Linked DNA regions of Caenorhabditis elegans. The protein of the gene in region 2 purifies or fractionates together with the protein of the main gene of each other region. This does not show direct contact. Each region holds a gene or a part of one and is shown on either strand. Other genes may lie near its edges.

Region 1 (3,443 bases), on a different chromosome or scaffold from region 2:
TTCTGTTTATTCTCAATGCTGTTTTCTCTGTTCTTTGTTTCTCTGCTCTTTTTTCCTTTTTCAACATAAATTTATGTGTATCCCGGCCGTAGGACGAGACTTCACTTGTTTCTCTTCCACTTGTTTCAACTTAAACGCGAATAAGTTTTTCAGTGCTATTCTGATTAGTGTGTGCACTGAAAACTGATCAGTGAGCGAGTTTGTAAGTCGTTGCTAGGCATTTTCATCTGTGGACAGCAGAGAGCGCGCTTTCATCGATCTTGATTCATTTCTCACGCTGCTGCTCTTTTCATTTCTTTTTTTTTGCTCTGAGATCGACGAGAAGTGAAAAATGCCACTTTTTGGAAGCAAGAAAACCGATAAGAAAAGTGGAATGAATGAAGCACCAAGCTATCCGAAGCAAAGTGTAAGTTTACTTAACTTTAAATCATGAATAATTTGATTTTTTTAGGCCGTTCCACCTCCTCCGCAAGTTGCCCACTATCCGATGCCAACATATCCACAAGGTCCGCTTGTTCAACAAAACGAGTTCTACTTCACCTCCGCTGGCCAACAACTCCAATCGGTTCCAACTACTACAGTCGCATTTGCAAGAACCGATCTGCCTGGGGCTTACGACAACTTCTGTGAGGGATTCCTCGACGGACCAGACTTCTCAAACCGAGTCCCAGACAGGAACATTCCCCCTGCTCCAGGATCGTATTACTTCTACTCGGTAACACACATTTTTAAATTTCAACTTTACCATACCCACTTTCAGCATGGCAACAGCTCAACCCCGTCGTTCGCCCCTCCCTACTGTGCTCCACCACCAGGTCCATCTTCATCTGCTCCACCAACACTCCCGACGTCTTCAGGCAACCTGCCGCCACCTCCAACCTACGAACAGGTTCTCTCGCAGGAAGTGAAAGAAAAACTATGATAATTTCGCTGAAGATTTTTCAACATTTTCAACACTGTATTCCCTTTGCATCTGTGATTGCTGTTTGCATACTAAATCATAATTATTCTGCGATTTCATTTTTTGTGCTCTTAATTTAGTCATTTTACCTGAACGATATTTTGATCAAACCACATTTATGCATTTATTTTCTCCCAAGACTACAAATAAGCCACGATGTAGTCTTCCTGAAGGGCAAAGTGCAAAAAACGAATGCTATCTGCGTCTCCCCGGTTTCTGTACTATCTCAATAACGTTTCGTTATCTTCTCTTTCTCGGAGAGTAGTCCAGCAATCTCTGTGTTCATTGGCTGTTATTTGTGGCGAACCCTCACAGCAACGACGTGGTCGGACACACAAACATTTTCTTCACTTATTTTTTTATCTTCCTTTTGTTGTTGATATCTTCGTAAACATTCGTTCCCACTATCGATCTAAATAGGATAAAAAAGCTTTACTGTTCTTTAAAAACTCCTAAAAATCCAATTTTAAATTTTATATTCGAAATTTAGCGTTTAAAGTGCAATTTTCTTTGATAAGATAAGTTAAGATAAGTTAAACATTTCTTACAAGGCCTGACAGGGTTTTCTTAAATTCAGAAATGTATTAACTTGAACAAAACTAAATATTATCACCCTTTTTTTAAATAACAGGATTCAGGTATTTTTCTTAAATCAAAAAACCACTTAATTTCTACATTAACCTTACTTAATATCGGAAAATTTCAGCCATCAGATCGAAGTTTTTACATTTTATTTTTCAGACGCATTGAAATGTCGGACGTTCTTCTGAATTTCATCGCAGGAGGAGTCGGTGGATCATGTACCGTAATCGTCGGACATCCATTCGATACTGTCAAAGTCCGAATTCAAACTATGCCAATGCCAAAACCAGGGGAGAAGCCACAATTTACCGGAGCTCTTGATTGTGTCAAACGAACAGTTTCCAAAGAAGGATTTTTTGCCCTCTACAAAGGAATGGCAGCTCCACTTGTTGGTGTTTCTCCACTTTTTGCAGTTTTTTTCGGAGGATGTGCAGTTGGAAAATGGCTGCAGCAAACTGATCCAAGTTAGTACTAAATCATCATGGGCAAACAAATAAATTGAAAATATGAGAATTAATCTTACCATTTTGCATTTCAGGCCAGGAGATGACATTCATCCAAAACGCTAATGCTGGAGCTCTTGCTGGAGTCTTCACAACAATTGTGATGGTTCCTGGTGAACGAATCAAGTGTCTTCTTCAAGTTCAGCAAGCTGGATCTGCTGGTTCTGGAGTTCATTACGATGGTCCACTTGATGTTGTCAAAAAACTATATAAACAAGGAGGAATTTCATCAATCTACAGAGGAACTGGTGCCACTCTGCTCAGAGACATCCCAGCTTCAGCCGCTTATCTTTCAGTATATGAATATCTAAAAAAGAAATTCTCTGGAGAAGGAGCTCAAAGAACATTGTCACCAGGAGCAACATTGATGGCTGGAGGACTTGCTGGTATTGCCAATTGGGGAGTGTGTATTCCAGCTGATGTTCTCAAATCTCGATTACAAACAGCCCCTGAAGGAAAGTATCCAGATGGAATCCGTGGAGTTTTGAGAGAGGTTCTTCGCGAAGAGGGTCCTAGAGCTCTGTTCAAGGTGATTTTTTTTAAACGATTGGGACGATGCAAGTGAATTTTTCGTCATTTCTCGACACATTTACATACATATATACTTTACCTGATTTCTAGCTACAATTTGTATAAATTTCAGGGATTCTGGCCAGTAATGCTCCGTGCTTTCCCTGCAAACGCTGCCTGTTTCTTCGGACTTGAACTCACGTTGGCTGCCTTCCGTTACTTTGGCATTGGTGGACACCCAACACCATCTACAGAAGTTGTTCCACTCCCACACGACGAGTAAATTTTTGAAAATTCTCATTTTTCTAATTAGTTTATACCATATTTATTTGATATTTTTTTCATTATTCAAAAACATTTACCCGAGTTGCCTTCTATTTCCATGTTTTGGGCATTTGTATGTTGTGTATATTTCTACATGAAAATCGTAAATTTTTTGATGAACTTCAAGAAGTGCTCAATGTTGAATTATATTTACCGTGTTCAGCTGTCGCTATACAATTTTTTTTGAGAAACAGGTTCATTAAATGCAGAACAATTATCGAAACAAAAGAGTACAACGGGTATGGTGAAAAAAAAACAGGGGAACATTTAAGATAAGACTATTCTAGATCGATGACGCTCTGAAGACTGCCAGGTTCACTTTCTGAAACTATTTTCACAATTTTAAACGATTGGGATAGTGATGATTGGAGTTAAATTGAATTTCATTAATTGAAAAACCTACACTAAATAAGAGTATTCTGGAAATGAGTAGTTTTAATTTAGAAATTCTTTTTTAGAAAACCTAACCTTTCTGGAAGAAATTGTATTGAAAAAAAGTTTTAAAAACACCGAAAATTATAATCATCAATAAAAATTTCTTTTCAAACGTTTACTATATTTAC
Region 2 (3,028 bases):
GTTTAGTAGGTTTTAGGAACTGAAATATATATTTTTGACTAATAATTTTTGTTGCAAAATTTTAGGGAGCCGTTCAGGCGTGTAGGCTCTAGGCAGACGCAGACAAATAGGCACGAAGGCGAGCCCATCTACCATCGTAACCCCTCAATTTATACAATTTTTTGAAACCTACTGCTCAATAGCTGCAATTTTGACGCTTCTTTCTTCTGCTTCTTTTCTTCGAATTGTCTCTTCCTGTTCATCAACGACACCTTGTAGAGAATTCAGTTTTGCACCCATCTCAATGATTTCTAGCTCGATACGATGCTGGTTTCCCAGTTGTGTATCTAAAAATTTTGAAAAAGTTTTTAATTCTACTTTCACTATTCTCTTTTCGGCCTACCCATAATGCTCATTTCACTCTTTAACTTTTCAATTTGCTCTTTCAATTTCTTCTCTTCTAATTCAGAATTATCTCTATGAATTTTAAACATTCTATCTGATTCTTTTCTCTGTTCTTCCAACATTTCTTCCAAACGAGCAGTCTGAAACAATGCTCGTTCTTTGCCTTTTTCTCTAATTCCTCTCTTACCTCTTCGTCTTTCTCTTCAACCAATTTTTTCAGATAAATAATCACATCGTTCGACTCGAATGTTAAATTTGTCAACTGATTCTCGGTCGCCTCATTTGTTACTATCATTTCTGCGATTTTTTCCTGAATGAAGCATAAAATTTAAAGTAATTTTGATAATATTTTCAAAAATTAAAACCACCTGCAGTAACTCTAACTGTTCCTCGAGAGGTTTTTCATCAGAATCCTGGCGTTGTTTAGAAATCATAGTTGTGAGTAACTAAAGTAATACGTAAAAGAACTCAGAATGTCTAGAGTTCAGATCAGTCAGCCATAAAATTTCAATTTCCGTCCATGGTGCAACAACTAATTTCCTGCGTTTGCTTAAATATAAATAAGTCTTCTTTAGTTTCAAAATTACATTTAATATTTTAATACAAGAACAAAAAAAACTGCTTCAAGTTCCTGTTCCTGTTCCACAAAAAATTATTTTTTAAACTGTCCCCAAAAACGCCCTGATGTAGATTTACGATAAACAAAGCGCGAAGGGTTATTTCGGAGTGTTGTAGTCAAGAAAAATGTTTCTTAAGAATTAAAATTTTAAAAATTATTTTCTTTCATTTTCTTAATTTAAGTGATTTATTTCTAGATTTTTTGATTAATTTCCAATTAAAAAACTGAAGTCTTCAATTTTTATTAAAAATAAATAACCTCGCTCTCATAATTTTTCTGAAAAACTAAGAAATTTACATTTTTCCTGTATCAACCAAGATATCGTATGAAGATTTATATATTTTCAATTAAACTTTCGAATTTTACCAATGTTTTACATTACATAAAATGTCCCATTTTATGTTTTCGCTAAATGTTTCTTCAAACTCCCCGCAAGTTGACTGATAACGTTTCTGTTGTACATCACTCCATTCTACCCTTTCATCTTTTTTTTCGTGTGGCGTGATATACTTTTCTCATTTTCTTTTCTTTGCATTGCCTAAAATCCTTATTTTTGCAGGGTAACAATGAGCGTTCAGACGTATCTGGTTGCGTACAACGTGTTACAAATTTTAGGGTACGTTTTTTTTTCTGAAAGAAGTTCACTATAATTTTAATAATTTAAATTAATTTCAGATGGTCTGCAATTCTTGTGAAAACAGTTCTTGGACTCGCTAATGGCTTGACATGGCCACAACTTTACGAATCGGTGGAATTTGAGCTTAAAATCTTCCAAACCGCAGCTATTCTCGAGGTTAGCTTTGTTGAAATTGAAAAACTTTTAAAGAAATTATCATATTCAGGTCATTCACGCAATTGTCGGACTTGTTCGTTCACCAGTTGGAACTACCGCAATGCAAGTAACATCTCGCGTCGTCCTTGTCTGGCCAATCCTCCACTTGTGCTCAACAGTGAGTTGGAATTTTTTATCTTAAACTTGAATAAATTAAACCAATTTTTAGGCTCGCTTCAGTATCGGAGTTCCACTTCTTCTTGTTGCCTGGTCCGTAACAGAGGTCATCCGGTACTCGTTCTATGCACTCAGCGTATTGAAACAACCAATCCCATATTTCCTTCTCTACCTCAGGTATTTTGAGATTCTGGGGATCAATGCTATAACTCAACTATTTTAATTACAGATACACCCTCTTCTACGTTCTCTACCCAATGGGAGTCTCCGGAGAGCTTCTGACGTTGTTCGCTTCATTAAATGAAGTTGATGAGAAGAAAATCCTTACCCTCGAGATGCCAAACCGTCTCAACATGGGAATCTCCTTCTGGTGGGTGCTCATCATTGCTGCTCTCAGCTACATTCCCGGATTCCCACAACTTTACTTCTACATGATCGGTCAAAGAAAGAAGATTCTCGGCGGAGGAAGCAAGAAGAAGCAGTAAAGAAAAATTCTACGTGTATTTATATTACAGTGTATTCTAGATTAATTGCAACCAATCAAAATTCAACTTTATTCATAAATTATTCTCCCGTAATGTCTTCTAAAAAAACAGTCACCCGAAAATCAGGATGGTGGCGTCATTTGAGCAAGAGCTTCGGCCTTTGCCAAATAATTCTGGTATAAATAATAACACCAATATATGAGATTCAGAAAACAAAACGACAATGGAAATGCTTTTCTGCAGAATTTGTCGACATTTTGTGCAGTCCATTTGGTATTTTCGTCATCGTCATCCGTGAGGAGTCCTGGAAAAGTAATATTTAGAGAATAAACGATGCACAAATTTATTTAAAAGTACCGAATTGTGCGAGAGCGTGCAAAGATTCGAACATATTGTTCGCTTGTCGAGAAATTGAAATTTTATGGCTTGTAGTCCCGTTCTGCTAAAAGATAATACATTTAAAATAATAAAAAAAATCAATAATCTCACTGAAAAAGGCTCATCATAATTGCTCCTCAAGTCGCTCTCTGCTGCATTTGCATTGGTTACTGTAGTTGCACCATAGTTATTTTTCTTTCTGTCTTTTTTTCT

What was found. Proteins that work in one complex are often made in the same cells at the same time.
Region 1: the proteins of hpo-8 (region 2) and dif-1 fractionate together in Caenorhabditis elegans (co-fractionation; one large-scale study listed by BioGRID). This does not show direct contact.

The regions. Positions count from the first base shown.
Region 1 is NC_003282.8:7,551,134-7,554,576, reverse strand, and holds dif-1 (Protein dif-1), read left to right. Parts: upstream 1-1,702; 5' UTR 1,703-1,712; coding exon 1,713-2,007; intron 2,008-2,081; coding exon 2,082-2,575; intron 2,576-2,689; coding exon 2,690-2,839; 3' UTR 2,840-2,920; downstream 2,921-3,443. Other genes in the region: F49E8.6 (Early nodulin-75-like), read left to right, coding at 332-406, 452-715, 761-922; oef-1 (C2H2-type domain-containing protein), read right to left, coding at 3,159-3,208. UniProt on the Caenorhabditis elegans protein: Seems to play a role in the maintenance of tissue differentiation in the developing embryo, but not for its initiation.
Region 2 is NC_003283.11:6,837,727-6,840,754, forward strand, and holds hpo-8 (Very-long-chain (3R)-3-hydroxyacyl-CoA dehydratase hpo-8), read left to right. Parts: upstream 1-1,562; 5' UTR 1,563-1,569; coding exon 1,570-1,619; intron 1,620-1,678; coding exon 1,679-1,796; intron 1,797-1,845; coding exon 1,846-1,953; intron 1,954-2,004; coding exon 2,005-2,129; intron 2,130-2,181; coding exon 2,182-2,437; 3' UTR 2,438-2,528; downstream 2,529-3,028. Other genes in the region: T15B7.15 (GRIP domain-containing protein), read right to left, coding at 173-326, 383-524, 572-694, 753-818; lgc-54 (Ligand-Gated ion Channel), read right to left, coding at 2,560-2,741, 2,795-2,879, 2,927-3,026. UniProt on the Caenorhabditis elegans protein: Catalyzes the third of the four reactions of the long-chain fatty acids elongation cycle. This endoplasmic reticulum-bound enzymatic process, allows the addition of two carbons to the chain of long- and very long-chain fatty acids/VLCFAs per cycle.